Canis lupus familiaris: one gene and its partners. The protein of the gene in region 1 binds, or shares a complex with, the protein of each later gene. Links are inferred from orthologs where the notes say so. Each region holds a gene or a part of one and is shown on either strand. Other genes may lie near its edges.

Region 1 (5,601 bases):
CGTACCCGTTCCTGGGCACCATGGTTCAGGATCAGCTGGCTGGGGGGGTCGGCCCCGGTGGGGCTGGAGGTCCTTCTGGTGGGGATGGGCCTCATTGTGCAGACCCATGCTCTGGGGAAGCTTCTAGTCTCTGGGGCTTCACAACCATAGAGACCAAGATTTACAGACCCTTGAAAGACACTAAGTTCCCAAATGTTGATCTGTGGACCAGGGCCAGGGAGCAACCTCAGAATCACCTGGGGGATTTCTTAAAACTCTAGACTCACAGACTTGGCTCCTGGAGATTTGGGGTAGGTCCTGAGAAATAGTATTTGTAACAAACTCTCTAGGTGCACTTCAGGCTTAGCTTTCTGACCCTGACACTTGAATCCCCTCAATGGCACCATTGCCATCCTTGGCTTATCTATCATTGTCCACCCTTGGCTTAGGTGTACCCAATAAAAAGTATGTGAAATATCACTGGGCCCCTCTCCCATGCAATAGCTTCTAACACTGAGCTGAAAGCTCACCCCAGGACTCCCTCCATCCAATCCAGTTCTGCCCTCAAGAAACACAGAGAACACTTCTGCTCCCTCTACCCTAATACAGCCCTTCAGATAATCAAAGACAGTCATCAGGTTACCCGTGAGTCTTCTCTTCTCCACATCCCTTCATGTGGGTCCCAGGCCCATCTGGTCAGCTTCCTCGGCACTGAACTTAATACCTCAGGCTCGGCTGCCTGCGTACAGTTGCACAGGTTGTGCATTGCACAACATGAGAGGGCACTATCCACACTGTAGTCTATAGGAGGGTATCCCCTCGGATTGTGCAGTACAGAGCCTGGGAGACCTTATGTGGTGGCCTTGACCCAAGTGGCTAATGAGCACAGATCAGACTACCACCAGACCCTCCTCCATTTTGGGCACTTGTTCTATTAATGCTTTCTAGTAGCCACAGCATTTTTGATTCCTGATCAGTGTGCACTTAGAGAAGACCTTAAGTCTTTTTTCTTGCATGGGTTGCCATACCTGGTCTTCTGGAGTCTATATTTGTGCCACTTGCTTTTTGGACTCAAAGTCAGGAACTGACATTTATTTTTCTGAATCCCATCGTGTCATATTGAGACCACTGGCTGGATGGGTTATGTGGATGTCACCTAAGAATTTCCTGGCCCCTGGATCCCCGCCCTGGGATGGGGCATCCTCACTGTAAGGCCTGGCTGCAGAGGCCAGGGTTTAAGGCAGGGAGGCAAGCAGGGGAGGGAGGCCGGGAAGGGGTTTGCTCTTACCCCCTGACTCCAGGCCTTCTGCAGGGTGGCCTCAGCCTCAGCCAGGGTGTAGTCCGTCACGATCTTGCCGTTGATCGCCATGACCTCATCCCCCTTCACAATGCCACCTGCAGAAAGATAAGGCTGGCTGGTCACCTGGGCCATATGTGACGCGTGCCTGGCCCAGGACTTGGCAAAGGCGGTGGGAGGCGGGGTGGACAGGAGGCCACTGTAGGGCTACAGGAGCTTGACTCCTGGATTCTGAGATGGGCTCGGAAGGCATGAGGGGAAAACAATCCACCAGGTTACTCAAGGGCATTTCCTACCCACCCCGTCCACACTCCTTCACCCCGACTCAATAGAATCAGGACACCAGTGACAAACCATTGCCGCCCTAACCTTTGTATGGGCCTCTGCTATCACGGAGGGAGGCAGACCTGAGGGGCCCATGAGGTTATCAGAAACATGAGCTAGTTCTGTGAGCTGTTCCTGTCTGCGTCAGGCTCTTTCCCACGCCAGAGCCTTCACATGCTGTTCCAGCTGGGCCAACTGTCCCCGTCTCTTTCTTCTTTCCTTGTAGGGCTCAGGTGAAACGTCTCCTCCTCAGAGGGAACTGCTCTGACCTGCGTCCAATCTTGACGTCTTTCCTATTGTTCCCTCAAAGTATCCCAGTCTCTTCCTGCAGAGCATTTTCACAATTTGTAATCCTACATCTATTTGTTGATGGATGGTCTCTCCCACCAGATTCTCAGCTCCATGAGAGTAGGGACCTTGTCTTTGGTTGATCACCATTCCCACAGCACTTACCATAATACCTAGCACAAAACAGGAATTCGATATAGTTCTCGAATAAGTGAATGATGTTAAAGGTCTTCCTGGATAAGCTGACCTGTGGTCTAATAAATTCGGGAAAAGCCAAGTTACAAGTTAAGCAGAGTTACTCACTGCAGGACTTGTCAGAGCCTTGAATATGCTACCATGCATTGTGGCCCTCCAAGAAGTGCATAGATTGTGCTTGGTTTCTCAGACATCTTCAACTTCAGAACCTTATAAAAAATGTTCTTTTTAAGGACTTTTTCTTAGTTCTGGTGTCCACAGCACATTCTCTACATTACGTTGAAACAGATCACCCAGAAGTCTTGCTGGCAGGAAGGCCACGGGAACATAGTGTGTGTTACTGAAGATGGTGTGGCAGTGGCTTAAAGCACGTGTGCTCTTGGAGAAAATGTCACCAGCTGCTGGTTTGTCCAAAGCAGTGTGGGGCCAGACTGTAGACAGCAGTTTCCTCTGGCCCGTGGGCCTGTGGAGAGGCGACTCTCACTTTTTCCTTTTGCAGGGACTCAGGATGGAGCGTCAGGAGCAATAAGGCAGTGGTTGGGCTGGGGCTTTGAAAGGAGGGGAGGCTCCCGGGAAAGTATTCTGGTCCTCCTTCCCTGCCAGACCCAGCTGACAGGTGTCTTTCTCTCCACTGGCGTGAAGTGAGGACAGAAGAGGAGGAGGGTGTGGACTGGGAGGGCAGCCCTGGGCCACGGCAGCTGCCAGCTGAGTGGCCCCCCGCCCCCCAGCTGAAGCGACAGCTCAAAGTGTGGCTGCAAGAGGCAGGCCTGAGCTCACCGGGGCCACAGGCAGCCGAGTTCTGTGGCCTTTGGAGCTCACAGAAGCCTGGCTGCCCAGCAACCAGGTGACTCCCTGTCACTCCGCCTCCTGCCTCGGGTGCTCACCTGCCCTCCATCCTACTGACCGACCACAGCCTGGCACCATGGGACTCCTGCTCTGGCCTGGAAAGCTGAGGGTCCCAAGTCTCCCCCTTCGAGGCCACTGATTTCCTCACAAAAGACCCCAGAATACTGAAAAGGCTCCTAGCTTTGGAAGAAGAAACCACGAATGGGGAGTCTCAGACAGTCTCGCCAGGTGAGCAGGTTTAAGGCAAAAGTAAAGCAAAATATGAGCAGAGTGCTTGGGTTCAGGTCCTGCCTCCACCACTAACTGGCTGTGGGTCCCGGAACGGCCTCGGTGTCCTAAGCTGTAAGATGAGAGTGGTAACAGCACCTGCTCTTGGTGCTGTCGCAAGGATTAAGTGACCTAGTAGCACACGTGAACCCCTTAGACACAGAGGAGGTGCAGGCGCTTAGAATCACACCTGGCACATGGCGAGTTCCTGACGGCCGTCGGCCCTTATTATTTAGAGGACAGGGAAGGTTTCATGCCCTCTCTCCTGCCTTTGCATGGAGAGTTCTTGCCCACCGTCACGAGGCTCACATTGACTTATCTTCTATGGCTCAGCTCAGGTATGGTGCTTGTCGGGAGCCTTCCCGGTGGCCCCCTTTCCCTTGGTGGGTTAGGGGCCCTCGAGGTCCCACAACTTTCCTCCGTGCCCCCAGCCGTCTGTCAGCACTTAGCAGACTGCTCTGTTACAGCCGGAATCTGGCAATTCTGAGCATGTTTTCACCCCTGGATGGGGGGGAGGGGCAGAGGGCAGCGTGGGGTGCGGTGGGCTGTACGCCCATAGTCCTGGCACCATCATATGCCCATGGGTAACGTGTGGGCTCAGCAGGTGGATGGGCAGATCCAGATGGGGGGCATTCTTGAGCAACTGTCGGTCAGTCCACTCCAAGTGGGCAGCCGTGTGCTTTCCTGGGGTCCCTGTTCAACCACTGCACCATCCCCAAACTGGGGCATGGCTGGTTCCCCACTCACCATGCCGCTCGGCAGCTCCCCCCTCATACACAGCCGAGACGACCACCTTCCCGATCGGGGAGTCCACACCGCCTTCCAGGGCCAGATCTAACGATCCCTCCTGGTTAGACAAAAACAGGCCTTCAAGAGCCAAGCAGACGACAACAGCCTGTGGACACCTGGGTACCCAGGAGCCTCCTGACAGGGCTACAAAGAGGGCAGGAGAAGCCATGGGGGTCAATGACAGCGCCATCAGGGAGGGAAGGGAGCCTGGACACTAAGTGGGGCCTGAGTGTGTGCTCCCACCACAGGAGGGGACATCCTTGGGGGAGAGAGTAGATGGGTGGGGACCTGAGGAGTCACTCAGGAGTCATCTCCAGAGTAGAGGCAGGGCACCAAGATGGGAGGGGCCTGGGGCAGAGAAGGGTGGTGGCCGCCTGACCTCCATGTGCCCATGTACCTTCTTAATGCGCAGGAGCCGGACATCCTTCCCTGTGATCTGCTCCGGGGTGAACTAGAGGGAACAGGCAGTGTGGAGCTTTGAGTCTGCCTGGAGGATGAGGGTGGGGTCCCACAGGGTACATGGCCAAGGGGACCCTTCCCAGCCCCACACCCATCGGTCTTCACCTGGGGGTCCCAGGCCTCACAGGGGCCACCTGGACACACACACACACACAGGTGACCACAGAAATCCCAGATCCATTCTTTCTGAGAATATTGTGAGGGCTGGGTGAGGACATGCCCTGTAAGCACCCAGCAAGCCACACGCACCTGGTACACAGTCAGTGCTTGGCCAGTGTGACCGCTGTTACACCCTCACTGCGCCCCAACACACACTCCAGTCCTGTTTCACACTCGAATGTGGTTTGAAAGGCGCCTTTGCAGGAAAGAGCAGCTGGGGCTCCCTGGGGCTCCTCACCTGCCCCACCACGGAACACACCACACCCCTCGACCCCACATTCCCGGGACTGCTGCCCTGGGGAGGAGAGTGATCTCTCACCATCGAGTAGGGGTCAAAGCCTTCCTCATATTTCCGGAAATCCTGGAAGCGAAGGGAGTGTGTTAGGGCACAGAGTAGAGTTCCCTGAGGGTCGCTGCAGGAAACAAGCTCAGGACAGAGGAAAAAGGCATGAATGGGTCAGATGTAGGGGAGAGGGGAGGGGGCCAGGTGTGGCCTGGAGGGGGAAGCAGGGAGGAGGCTGGAAGCCCCAGGAGCCAGAGCCCCCTGCGCAGGGAGAAGCAGGAAGCTATGCAAGCATCTGCGGAGCCCAGCCCGGGCCCTGGGTAGTTGAGGCAGGGGTGGGCGCCGGCTGCTGTCCGGGTGTCTGAGCGGCCCGCGGCCTTGCCGGAGCTGTCATCTGCCTGCAGCCTCGGGTCCTGAAGGCCCTACCTGAGCTCCTCCGAGTGCTCGTGCGAGGCCAGGTCCAGGCTCTGGGGGTGAAGGCCTGGTTTTCTGCACCCAGTGCTTTGACCCCGGAGAAGGGCAACACTGTGCAAGAGGCAGCTCTCCCTGGGGAACCTGCTGCGAGATGACTGGGGTGCAGGGCGTGGGCGGTGCAAAGGGATGTCGGGCTCCCAGAGGAACAGGGGCGTCCGTGCTCACCCAGTACCCAGCACTGGTCCTAATGTAGCACCTATCTAGGAGGTAAGAGGCCTCCCAGAACCTCAGTCGGGGGAGG
Region 2 (6,198 bases), on another chromosome or scaffold:
CCCCCGACTCCCCCCCCACAGAGGGCCTGGTGCCTACCGGAAAGTCGGGGTCCTGAGCCCAGACCCTCAGAGGCAGGGAGGGGCTGGCTGTGTCTCGGATCTCCACGCCCACTGCAGAGTTGAGCGCCACGGTGCCATAGTAGCGGCTCTGCGGGAACTGGGGCACGCTGCCAGTGGCACTTCGGGCCTCGATCGTGACCCAGGTCACCGAGTAGCGGGCGCCGTCTGACTGCTCACCCTGGGGGTGGGGGAGGCCTCAGCGACAAGCAGGTCCTCAAAGCCCCGGCCCCATGGAGGCCTGGCCAGGGCGCCCACCTTGACCAGCAGCGTGAAGGTCTTTGGGCTGGGAACGCTCCTGGTCATGGTGAGGTTGCCCGAGTTGGCGTCGATGGCAAATGTGCCGTCGTCTTGTCCTGCGAAGATGGGGGGAGGTGAGGCCTCTCGCTCCGTCCAGGGGTCTGAGGTCTGGGGCCCCCGCTGGCTCTGCCCACGGGCAAGTCCCCCCAGGTCCAGGATGCAGAGGCAGGGCTCCAGCGCGCACTCACCTGTCACGATGCTGTAGAGGACACGCTGGTTGACGCCCCGATCCCCGTCCACGGCATAGATGGGCCCGGGACGCAGGACAAGGGGGGCTGGCTGCAGGAGCAGGGACAGGGGAGACACCTGGGGCCGCTGAGCGGGGCCCAGCGCAGCCCCCGTTCCCCACACGGCTGCTGAGCACGCCCCGTGGGGGTGAATTTGTGCAAAGACCTCGGATTGATCTGAGCGATGGCGGCCCCAGGAGGGACAGGGAGCAGTCACACCGAGGCTGCACTCGGTACACGTGCTCGGTACCATGGGGGCCTAGAGCCCGCGTCTGCCCCGCTGCCCCCGGCGCCTTGGGGTGCCTCTTGTGGCGGGCGGCCCACTTCAGCGGGTCCCCAGGGGTTCTGGCCCGGCCGCAGGGCCCCAAGCCCACACACCCCCCGCCCCCCCACCCCCAGTACCAGTCTGTGGCCTGTGGGGATGGCCCCCTGGTACTCGGCGTTGATGCAGACGTAAAGGTCTGAATAGGCGCAGGGCAGGAACCAGGGGGGCCGGAGGTCGGCGGGCCGCACGTCCAGGACCAGGGTGGCCGTGGCTGTGTGGCTGGGCTGGGCGTTCTCCTCCTGTGTGTCCTGTGGGAGCGCAGCGGGGGTCAGGCCTGCGAGCGGGGGCTGGGGGCAGCGGGGGGGTGTCCCGGCCTGCTCACCCGCACCAGCAGCAGGAGGCTCATGTTCTGCCACTTGTAGAAGTCCAGGGGCCGGTCCAGCCGCAGGGCGGGCAGGTTGGTGCCCAGCAAGGAGAAGAAGCTACCAGCACCCTGGGGAGGTGGGGGGGGCGGGTGCGACTCAGCCTGAGACCCTGGGGAACATGGAGAGGGGCTGCCCGACGGGAGGGTTCAGAGTTGGCGTGGGGGTCGGGGACACTGACCGGGGTCACCTCTTGGAGGGTGTAGAACAAGACGTCATCCTTGTCGGGATCTTGAGCCTCCAGTTCCGTCTCAGGGATGACAGTGGTGTTCACTTTACTGTCCTGGGGATGGAGGGGAGTGGTGTCTACACCCTCGACCCCTGGTCCCCCAGGCCAAGGCCCAGGCCACTAGCCCTGCTCTCCGGCCCCTCGCCCCCCGCCCCCCGGCTCTCACCTCGGGCACGTCCTCCACCCGGAGTTTAAAGGGGAACTTGGGTGGGTTGTCGTTGACGTCCAGCACAAACACAATCACCCTCAGCTGGGTCACCTGCGGGGACACGGCCTGAGCACCCTGCATCACACACGGGCCGCCGCGAGCCCGGGGACGGCAGGTGCCCGGGCAAAGGACTTGGCTACCGGCCGGGCTGGGGCACCGCCAATCCCAGGTGAGAACCACGGCGAAATGAGCAAATCGCTTCAAAAATAATTCCCGAGGAGAAAGGAAGAGAGGAAGGGGAACCCATATGTTGAAAGAGGCTCGGGAGGGGCACCCGGCTGGCTCAGTGGGAGGAGGGGGCGACTCTTGATCTCGGGGTGGGAGTTCAGGCCCACGTTGAGGGGAGAGATTGCTTCAATAAACACACTAGAGAGGAAGGGCCGGAGGGGCAGATGCTAGAGAGAAGTAGCCGGCGGCCTCGCTGGGTGGGCCTTGCTGGCGGCTCCGTGACTGTGGGGAGGGCGGGCATCGGGGGTCACATGATGCCCACGAGTCCCTTTGCAGATAATGACAAAATCGGAAGGACCGGGGACCGTGGGCAAGCCGACAGGTGCGTGGGGGCCGGGCTTGCAGCTCAGGACAGAGTGGTCAGGGGCCCCTTGAGAAGGTGGTCCTGGAGCGAAGGCCGAGGGGCGACAGCGGGAGGCAGGTGCGCGTCTGGGGAGAGGGCTCAAGGGCAGCTGGAGCGGCCTCGGGCTGGGGCACCTGGCGCTGCCCGCTGCCCGGGGCATTCAGCCTTGCCTCTGAGCGGGAGAGCAGCCGGGGCGCCGGGCGGGGATGCGCCGCTGGCTGGGCCCGATGGTCCTGCCACACTGAGACTGGACTGGCTGAGGCCGGGAGGGGAGCAAGCAGCCAGCTCCAAGTTTCCGGAAGGGAGATGCTGGTGGCCAAGGCCCTGGTTGGTCTGGAGTCCAGCTTCAGGCAGAGCTCACGGACTTGCCGATGGAGAGAGGTGTGGGGAGGGGGTGGGGGCGAGGGAACCGGTTGGGCAAGGTGCCTCTGTGCTGGGGGGTCTGCACCTCGGGGCAGTCTGGGCGGGAGGAAGTGGGGGCGCCAGCCCAGGAGCGACACTTGTAAACCGCACAGGGTGAGGTCCCCAGGGCGGGGCCCTGGACCAGTCAGAACAGAGTGCAGAGGTCCAAGCCCAAGAGCTGTGATGTCATAGGGTGGGGGCGGCGACCCAGAGGCAGGGGATGGGGGTACTCACCACGGTGTTGCCACTCTTGCACTCCAGGTGCGCCTCCAGCAGGGTGTTCTCCTGGGGGGCAGACGGGGGCCGGGTGGTCACCAGGGTCCCCAGCGTCCACGCTAAGTCCAGGGGCAGCTCCAGCCCCTAATGGCCCTATGCCCCTTGGGGCCAGGGCATCACCAAGCCTGGAGGCCCCAGAGGGGTCCGTGGATGATGCGGGGGCGGGGCGGCCAGCGAAGCGCAGACGGACCCCGAGCAGACGGACCCCGAGCCTGGGACAGCCCCGGTCCGAGGAGCGCGCCCGCCACTCAGCTGCCCTGTGTGGGGCCCCACCCGGCCCCCCGTCTGCACCTCATAGTCAGGAGTCACGTTGAGAAACAGCTCAGTCCCCTGGATCCGAAAGGCGAAGGGAGTGGACGACGACCCGAGGGTCACCTGCTGGCCCGCGGGGACGTCGATGTGAGCCAGGGGCCCGCTCTGAATCGTGTTCTCCTGGACCTCGAAGATGTTGTTGCTTACGGCGCAGACTGGAGAGCAGGAAGGGAAGGCTCAGTGCCCCCCACCCCCCCGCCCCTGCACCCCCCCCGCCGCCCCAACTGCCCCCGCCGCCCCGCAGCTACCCTGGGCCCGTGCCGTGGCCACCAGCAGCGGCAGCAGCAGGGCCCAAGCCCCCATCTCCGTGGGCCGCGCTGCTCGACCCTGTGCGCAGCTGGCTGCCGGGTGGCGGCTCAGCGGGCGACCTTTGCCCCACCAGGCACCGCCCCACAGTGTGATCCTTTACAGGCCTCGGCCTCCAGCAGGGGGGCTTTCGCCGGCCGCCGCCCAGGCCTGGCCAGCTGCCCGGAGGGGGCGTCCCGTGGTTGCCCACCAGCCCTGGGCCACGTGCGGGGGCCATGGCCACGGGGGCTCCCGGCTCAGGGCTCCATGGGCCTGCGCAGGGCCCGGGTCGTGCTGGGTGGGCGCAGCCGGGGCAGGGGTTGGGGGCCCAGGCCTGGCTCCCGTGTCTGCTGTACCCACCCGTCCCCCTAGCCCCGGCCGCCCCTTCGCTGGGCTCTCCTTCCAGAATCATCTTGGAGCCAAGTCAGACCCCGGGTGTTCCCTCCAAGCCCACCTCCCCTCCCTGCACAGTCTGTGTCCTGGGGTCGCCCCTGCCTGTGCTGGAAACACCCCACTTCCTCCAAGGGCAGGGGTGGGGGCGGCAGTGTTTCTGGAGGCTGCTGGGAGCTCGGGGCGGGGGGAGCCCGGGTCTTCAGGGGTCCCTGGCAGGCTCCTGGGCCCTGGCCCCTGCCGCCCTACCCCAAGGGCCCCCAAGCCCAAGGCAGCAGGGGAGAGGCCCCCCCCACGCAGGGACAGTAGGGGGTGTGGCCCTTCTGCTTCCTCGCCCTTGGCTCCTGGCCTCATCCCTTCCTGTGTCAGCACCGCCTCCGTGGCTCCCCTGGGGTGTCATCCCCCTCTGCACAGGCTCAGACCACACAGCCGGGAGCAGGAGCCAGGCTCACAGCCTCCCCCTGGGGTGCACTCCTGGGCCCCTGGTGGCACCCATGCCCGTCACCTCTTCCTGCCCGGCCTGAGCCTCCTTGCCCCCCAGGTCCTCCCACCGGCTGGCACTGTGACAAGGGGCCTCCAGGGCAGGTGTCCTGTGCCCCCCCAGAGCCCCTGAATGTTTGCTGAGTAGCTGGCAGGGATCCGGATGGGTCTCTGGGGAGCTCAGGTGACAGGACAGGAGACAGAAGGGAGGTGAGGCGCCCCACAGGCTCCCAGGTGTAAAGGGCACTGGGTGTGGCCACAGTCCTGGAGCCTGTGGTCGCCTGGTGCCGCCAGCCCCGCCCTGGGGGACGGCGCAGAGGGAGCTCAGAGGGCCACCGTCTGAATTCCTCTTTATTGGTGACAGTTACAACCCGTCCCCTGCCCCCTCCCGTCCAGGCCCCAGTCGGCTCCGGGCGGCGGCCGTGGCGGCTGCCGCGGCAGGTCCCTTCTTCCTCAAGGCCTCCTCCGTGTCACCTGGGCAGCAGGGATGGCCGGCTCCGAAAACGAGGCCCCAGACCCGGTTCCGGGAGGCGGCTGGGGAGCCCAGGCCTGATCCAGGGGGTCCCTCAGGGGCACCCTGTGGACACAGCGGGTGAGGCGGGAGCGAGAAGCTGGCCTCCGGGTCACCAGCGCCCCTCACCTCCGCGCCCCCCGGGCCCAGGGCCGGTGCTCACCAGGCGCGCAGGGCGGGCGAGTCGGGCCAGCGCAGGCACAGGCGGCCGTCGGGGGCCGTGGTCCAGCTCGTGCTGTTCTCTGCGTCCTGCTCGCTGCCCCCCGCCCCGACCAGCGTTAGTCCTGGGGCTGCCCCAGCCAGGCGCCCTCCGACCCGGTCCCAGCACCACCCCCCCCCCGCCCCGTCCCCGCCCCGCCCTCACCTGCGCTTCCCCACCAGCCCCTGGAGCAGCCGCTGCAGCCGGGCGCTCTCCCGCAGGCGGCTGAGCTCGCTGGTGAACGTGCCGTCCGAGTGCCGCGGGGCCCTGCGGAGGGACGGAGGGGCGAGGGGCGGAGGGGCGAGGGGCGGAGGGGTGAAGGGGCGGAGGGGCGAAGGGGAGGAGGGGCGAGGGGCGGAGGGGAGGAGGGGCGGAGGGGAGGAGGGGCGAGGGGCGGAGGGACGAGGGGCGAGGGGAGGAGGGGCGAGGGGCGGAGGGGCGAGGGGAGGAGGGACGGAGGGGCGCGGGGCGGAGGGACGGAGGAGCGAGATGCGAGGGGCGGAGGGGCGAGAGGTGCAGGGGCGAGGGGCGGAGGGGCAGAGGGGCGAGGGGCGGTCAGGGCCGTCGGGGCCGGGCGGGGGCGGGGGCGGGGCGGGGCGAGGCGGGGCGGGTCCGGCCCGGGGCTCACCTGCGGGGCGCGGGGAGCGCGGCGGGGCCCCGGGGCAGCAGCGCCAGCAGCAGCAGCAGCAGCGGCGGGGCCGGGAGGGCCATGGTGGGCGGCGGTGGGCGCGGGGAGCGGAGGCGGCGGCGCCCGGAGCGAGCGCGGCCCCTTTATAGCGCCCGGGGTAGGGGGGAGCACCGCCCCGGCTCCCCGCCCGGCTCCCCCGCCCCGGCTCCGCGCGGCCAGGCCGCGCCGCATCGATCGCCGGGAAGGTCAGGGCCGCCCCCGCAGCTGTCGGCCCGGCTGGCCTCCCGCCCGCACCGCCGCGTCGGCGCCCCTCGGGGCTGGGGGCTGGGGGCCCGCGGGGGTCGGGGAGGGCGCCTGGAGCCGAGGGCCCGCGGGGACAGGAGCGCGTGGGGAGACAGCGGCGGGCGGGGCGCGGGCTGGGTCCGCGTGCTTACTT
Region 3 (6,072 bases), about 19 Mb from region 1:
CCAGGACCAACTGGTGGACCCGGGCTTCAGTCTGGGGATTGGGCATTGCCTCCCCTCCCCCCAAAAAGGGGTTTGGCAGCCCTGCCCTTGCTTGCTGCCCTTCTGAGTGGGCCAGGCTGGCTCCTGGCTGTGCAAAGATCCCTGGTCCCTGGGCAGGTGAGGATGGAGTTCCAGGATGGGACTAGAGGGTGGGGTGGGGAGAGCAATCGCTCTGCTCCCCTGATGCACCCTTTAGCTCAAGGGGGCCTCAGAGTCCCCATTTGCAGCTGGGCAGGACTTCCGGTCCATACCACTCAGATGTGGACTCCACTCCCCTCAGGGCCTCTTGTGGGGTCAGGACTGGAGACCTGCTATGTTCTCAGAATAAACATTACCACAATCCCAGAAAGCCTTTCTGGTATTTGTCCCTCTGGGGGTAAGGGACAATGGAGTCCCAGGCTTAGGTGACTGTCCTCTGGTCAAGAGGCATGTGAGGGAGGGCTTGGGAGTTCCAGCTGAGGCTGGGCTCTGCTTCCCACCTGGTGCATCTGTGGGCAGAGGTCACAGGGATCATTCCATCATTCCTTCAGCTGGCCTTGTCCCAAGCCCCGTCTCAGGTACTGGGGATGCGGGGAGCCAGCCACAGTCACATCTGTGGGGCAGCCCACAAATGGGTTGGAGAAGAGGCAGGGAGGCCAGTGGAAACATTGATCCTAACAAACACCATGCAGGGAGTGGCTAGAAAGCCAGTGTGGGTTCTGGGGGCTTCCAGCCTGCCTGGGAGGGAAGGTCCAGTCCATGCCCTTGGTACAGGTGGGCAGTGGAGGGAGGGAGGCAGCCAGGAAGAGGAGCTGGGTTTGTGGGAGGCCAGAGTGGAGGGTGTTGGGAGGAAGATGCTGGCAGCTCCAGTCAGGAAGCTGGGGAGAAAGGGTGCACAGATTTTGGAGGTAGAGTGGACAGACTTCAGTGATGATTGGGTTGGGGTGAGGGATGAGGGAGAAGGGAAAATGAATGAAGGCCAATTTGTAGGTTTCTCCATAGGACCATGAGCAAAGGATGTTATGAATTGCTGAGCCGTGCTTAGCATAGTACATGACTGGATGCTGAGTAAATTGTTGCTATCGTGGCATCCAGAGGTCACTGAGGACCTCTTCACTCCCTACCACTCTAGGGCCATCCTCACAAACCAGGCCCGCATTCCACCTCTGTGTTCCTCTTGGGGTCTCAGTTTTCCAGTAGATGCAGGCCGCCACCAGCCTGGGAGGCTCAGCAAGGGAGGTGATTGGAAGAGTGGTAGGTAGCCAAGTGTCGGTGGCAGGCACTAGCCTTGAAGGGAGGATGGTGCCCCGGAGCAGCCCCTGGGGGGCTCAGGAAGGTCGAGTCCGAGTCAGGGCACTGTTGCTTCCACCTGCTGCTCCAGGCAGAGGCTGGAGGCTCAGCCTTGCTACTGTGGGGGCTCTGGAGGGCAGCTGTGCTGGTGCCCAGCAGGTGGCACACTTGAGCCTCCTACCCCATTCTTTGGTTGGGGGGCGGGGGGCGGGGGTGGGGTGGGGGAGGAAAGCGGCTAACCTCTTCCCTGCAGACCCACCTCAGTTCAGAGGCTGGGGATCCAAGAGTACTCCCCTCTGCTCAGGCCAAAGTTCCCCTAGCGAGGCTTGCACTGATGGGGCAGCTGCCGGGTGGCAGGAGGCAAAGGGTGGTGACAAGAGGTCTCAGCAAGGAGTCTGCAACATTATTGTCTTTGCCAATGCCAAGGACGCTCGGTGTACTCCTCCTGTTTACGCCCCACCCCACACTTTTAAATCACACTATTTCACTTCAATTCATATGTTTTCCTGGTACAGGCAGGGTTGCTCCAAATCAGTTGGTTTGGGAAAGTTTCCTGGATGATTATGGACAACACCTGTGACCGCCCTCCCCCCCCCCCCCCCCCCCCCCCCCCCGCCCGCGGCAACCCGCAACCAGAACAGTGTTGATGGCGAAGAGCTTCAGAGGCACTTCTGAGGGGAGTTCTTAGGAGGTGGGCTGGGGAGAGGGGGCCAGCAGTGGGGCTTGCTACCCCCCGCCCGGCCCTGCCCTGCCAGGTCGGCTCCTCTCAGGAGTGCCAAGCAGGCGTTTACGGAGAACACGGCCTTGGTGGACGCGGCAGATGCCGAGACTCAGCAAATCTGTGACCCGGTCGGGATCAGGAGGTTCCCCGCCCACGTGCCGGGAGCAGGTGGCCTTATTACATATAATAGGCAGGGGAAGCTGGGGGAGGCGGTGTCCAGTCCCGCTGCTCAGCAGCACGCCCGGGGACCCGGGGCCCTGCCTCCACTGCGCGCCGGCCCCAGCGCAGGGCCCTGAGCAGCACAGCCGGCCTCCCTCCGCGCTGATGTCACCGCACCCGGACCTTGGAGGCCCCTCTGACTCCGCCTCCTGAGGGAAGGCTCTGGAGTGGCGAGCGGGGAGGGCAGCGGTGCGGCTGGACAGCTGCCCTGGCCGGGAAAGAGAGGGAGAGGCGGAGAGGGAGACAGTCACACAGGGAAGAAGTGACATCCAAAGAGAGCCCCAGACTGCCGAGCCCCGGAGTGAGACAGAGGAAGAGGGGACGTGTGTCTGCAGACTGTCCCAGACGCGTGACCCCAGCTCTGAGCCCTTCGTGCAGGTGGCAGCTGCATCCAGTCTGGTGGGCAGCTGAGCGTGGGGAGCTGGGACCCCGGTAAGCACGGGCTGCCCGCTCTCCTGGGCTCTCTGGGAGAAGGGCTGCGGGACGTCTGGGGGTATCAGGGGCTTGGGCCACCTGGGAGCCATGTGCTCCTGGTCGGGGGCCCAGCCACAGCAGCCACTGAATGAAATTGTCCTGAGCCTGGGCAGATGGAGGCTTGTCGCCTGGACAAGAGAAGAGTCAAGGGGCATGGCGTCATTGAATGGTCTCTGACCAGGCCTGGGGCAGGGGCGCAAACGTGCTGGGCTGGCAACTGGGGGGCGGGGGGCGGGGGGGAGAGACACTCTTTTGGCCTCTGACACTCTTCCTTGACCTCTCTCTCTCTCTCTCTTTCTCTCTTTCTCTTTGGTAAGTGACTTCCTTCCTCTGTGCCTCAAATTTTCCATCTGTGAAATGGGAATAGGAAGCCCCCACCCCAACCCAGGGTTGTTGTGGAGACCAGGTAAAGTCAGGCATGGGCATAGACATGCAAACACAGTTTTGCTTTCCCTATTGTCAATTTGAAAAGCAATGGACTTAACAGAGACTAGTTCTCATTTTGAGGAAAAAGTTTATCTCGTAGCTTTTTTCTTACAAGAAAAAAAAAAAAGCTTACAAGAAAAATTTAATGTGGCCATTAAATTCCAAGCTTTTACCACCCCATCCACCCTCCAGGGCCCTGAAAGCCCTGGCTCTTTGCGGCCTCTGAGGCTCACGCTGGTGCAGGAGGGCAGCACCACCAGCGCTGGTGACTTGCCTTCCCGGCCGGCCAGTCTGGCACGGTCTCCAGAAGAACTGCACGCCTGCTGCGTTCCGGAGCTCCGGGGCAGGGGTCAGGGCTCAGGTGTCAGGCAGCGTCCTGGACAGAGGATCAAATGCCCCGGCGCCTCTGAATGGCCCTTGTGAAAAATTGATGCTCACCCTGGGGGGCAGGTTAGGGGGCATGGGGGCCCCCCACTGGGGCCTGTGGGCTCTGGCCACCTTGGATCACCACACTCGATTCCCACAGTTCCTTCCTGAGCAATCTCTGGGCCTGGCCCTGTACCGTGTGAGGTAGTGGCTCAGCCCCACCTCCTTGCTCTGGATTAACTCCCCAACTTTGGAGGGGGCAGACGTGGGGACAGACCCTGACCTGACAACATAATGCATATAGTCAGGGCTGGATAGACAGAAACATCAGGACTCTTGGCAGCCTAGGGGTGGTCAGGGAGGGCTTCCTGGAGAAGGCACTGTCTGAACTGAGCCATAAAGTAGAGGTGGGAATTTGCTAGTCAGCATTCCAGGTAGAAGAGTCAATGTATGCAAAAGCCAGGAGGTATGAAAAGAGGTGGCATGTTTCAGGAGTCATGAGTGCTGAGAATGGTGTATGTGCAGGGAGAGGTGAGGAAGGAACCCAGAAAGCAGTGGGAGAAAAGACTAAGACATTAGCAGGAGCCACAAGGTACTGGGCCTTCAAAGCCAGCCTGAAAGCAGAGGGTGCTCTGTGGAAGGGTTTGAGGCAGGGCATGCCATGAGCAGGTCCTGCTCAGCCTGTGCCCCCTCCTCTTGGGCCTGGCTGCTGCTGTCACCCTAGCTCCTTGGGCAGACCTGAGCAGGTGGGGGAGGCCAGAAATCAGGTCCCGATCCTGAACCTGTCTTGCTCTGCTTTGCGACTTTGGCAAGCCTTGGTCCATCTCTGGGTCCCTTTGCCCTTATGTCCAGGCGAGGGGGCTGGACTTGCTACTTCCTAGGAGCCCTTTAGAAATCTCTGAATGACCGTAACCAGGAGAAGAGCTCAGCTGCTCTGGGCAGTAGAGCTGGTGACTGTGGCTGAGGCTCAGGTCACGCAGGCTGGGCTGTGGCCAGAGGGAGAGTAGCCAGGGAGGGAGGGTTCCCCAGAGGGAGGAGTGGCTGAGACTTTGGGAAGAGCCCAGGTGACTCCAGCCAGGCTCATGGCTGCCAGGGTGGGCCTGACCAGAGGCTTCACATGGTCTCTCCCCCTGCAGAACCACATCTGGCCAGGCGGGAAGCAAGAGCATCTGAGGAAGAACAATGGTGATTCTTCAACAGGTGAGTGCTCTCTGCACCCCACTGGCCTTCATCTTTCTATTGCCAGGAAGAACTCTGTTGGGTGGCTCATCCTGCCCCATCTCACATTCATCTGGTTAAATCACAGGACACCTGCCCCAGTACTTTTTTATTTTTTATTTTTTCTAATATTTTATTTTATTTATTCATGACAGACAGAGAGAGGCGGGCAGAGACACAGGCAGAGGGAGAAGCAGGCTCCATGCAGGGAGCCCGACATGGGACTCGATCCTGGGTCTCCAGAATCATACCCCAGGCTGAAGGCAGTGCTAAACCGCTGAGTCATTGGGGCTGCCCTGCCCCAGTACTTTTAGAAATCACCTATTTATGCTTAAAACTTGCTGTGAAAATTTCCCTGTCTCTCTCAGGCCCAGTCTAGAACTGCTCCCTCTGATGTGTCTCCTGGGGCCTTCCTTTCTCACTGCACTCATCCCACTGGGTAGAAATTATTTATTTACATGCATCTCTGAATCCTCAGGCATTCCACAAAGTAGAACACGTGCAAGGCCCCAACGTGGGGCAGCCTTTGGGGACAGGGAATAAGAAGTTGGTCAGTCTAATGAAGCCAGACCAGGACAGGCCTTGAGCCTGGCACGGGAGCAGTGAGTGGCGGATGACCTGGTTGGAGCTGCAGCCTCCTAGGGTAGTACGGGAAAGAAGCAGAGGTACTGGCCCCGGCTGAGTCCTCTAGCCGCCTCCTTCCTTCTTGGGGCCACCATGGCCCCTGACCCTCAGCCCTTCCCCGTGATCAGCCTGAGGCTCTAATGAGCTCCTGGTCTCCAGAGCCAGGAATGTGGGCCCAAAGCCAGGTCAGCTTGGCACCAAGCCCTAGGGCTGGTGGGGATGTGTGCTGTGGGGACCTTGCCAGCAGCTTCATAGCCTCCAGACCCATCAGAGGCCAGTGGGCAGCCTTGTTCTGCAGCTGTGTGTGTGTGAGAGCCAGAGAGAGACAGAGACAGAGAGGAAGCAGGCTTCAGGCAGGGCAGGATCAGAATAGACAGTTTTCTATCCCAGAGTGAGGAGACCCCCCCCCCCCAAGAGCCCCTCGGCCTGGCCTGACACCTTGTTCAAAGCCCCGCCAGAGGCAGCTGAGCCAAGGGAAGGAAAGTTGCTGTCCTGGAGCATCTGCTCTGTGCAGGGGCTTTGGCTGCAGGCAGGGCTGGGTGGGTGGGGGCATTCATGGCCCCCAGAGGGGCAGCCTGGGCCACCCATAGCCCCCACGGGGTTTCCCCACAGGAAGCTATGAGGCCTCCCTTGCCCTCTCTGAACCGGCCCTCCTCACCCTGTGGGTAAACGCAGGCTCTGCCCACCCCTCACACAGCAAGGACACTTCTGTTACT

What was found.
Region 2: USH1C (region 1) and CDHR5 share a complex: the UniProt entries of both Homo sapiens proteins name them as parts of the IMAC/intermicrovillar adhesion complex. The link is inferred for Canis lupus familiaris from reciprocal best matches to the Homo sapiens genes USH1C and CDHR5.
Region 3: the proteins of USH1C (region 1) and MYO7A are in contact, whole or in part, in a crystal structure (PDB 5MV9), measured with the Homo sapiens proteins. The link is inferred for Canis lupus familiaris from reciprocal best matches to the Homo sapiens genes USH1C and MYO7A. Residues at the interface, in NP_001284693.1 of Homo sapiens: Glu450, Pro456, Ile457, Val461, Val462, Ser463, Tyr466, Glu467, Lys479, Gly480, Pro522, Tyr526, Asp527, Asp528, Glu529, Leu530, Thr531, Phe532, Phe533; in NP_000251.3 of Homo sapiens: Phe1946, Val1953, Ala1976, Lys1995, Lys1996, Trp1998, Gln2017, Pro2020, Lys2021, Arg2024, Tyr2026, Ser2112, Ala2113, Phe2114, Phe2115, Glu2116, Val2117, Lys2118, Ile2128, Ser2161, Gly2163, Asn2164, Thr2165, Tyr2166, His2168, Leu2181, Glu2183, Thr2184, Ser2185, Leu2186.

The regions. Positions count from the first base shown.
Region 1 is NC_049242.1:40,722,218-40,727,818, forward strand, and holds part of USH1C (harmonin), read right to left. Parts: intron 4,965-5,601; coding exon 4,923-4,964; intron 4,437-4,922; coding exon 4,383-4,436; intron 4,044-4,382; coding exon 3,944-4,043; intron 1,375-3,943; coding exon 1,268-1,374; intron 521-1,267; coding exon 518-520; intron 1-517. UniProt on the Homo sapiens protein: Anchoring/scaffolding protein that is a part of the functional network formed by USH1C, USH1G, CDH23 and MYO7A that mediates mechanotransduction in cochlear hair cells. Required for normal development and maintenance of cochlear hair cell bundles.
Region 2 is NC_049239.1:26,065,572-26,071,769, forward strand, and holds the start of CDHR5 (cadherin-related family member 5), read right to left. Parts: upstream 3,639-6,198; 5' UTR 3,573-3,638; coding exon 3,518-3,572; intron 3,425-3,517; coding exon 3,249-3,424; intron 2,967-3,248; coding exon 2,916-2,966; intron 1,760-2,915; coding exon 1,667-1,759; intron 1,555-1,666; coding exon 1,453-1,554; intron 1,343-1,452; coding exon 1,232-1,342; intron 1,158-1,231; coding exon 987-1,157; intron 637-986; coding exon 546-636; intron 414-545; coding exon 316-413; intron 239-315; coding exon 38-238; intron 1-37. UniProt on the Homo sapiens protein: Intermicrovillar adhesion molecule that forms, via its extracellular domain, calcium-dependent heterophilic complexes with CDHR2 on adjacent microvilli. Thereby, controls the packing of microvilli at the apical membrane of epithelial cells.
Region 3 is NC_049242.1:21,735,395-21,741,466, reverse strand, and holds the start of MYO7A (unconventional myosin-VIIa), read left to right. Parts: upstream 1-2,434; 5' UTR 2,435-2,680; intron 2,681-4,650; 5' UTR 4,651-4,696; coding exon 4,697-4,714; intron 4,715-6,072. UniProt on the Homo sapiens protein: Myosins are actin-based motor molecules with ATPase activity. Unconventional myosins serve in intracellular movements. Their highly divergent tails bind to membranous compartments, which are then moved relative to actin filaments.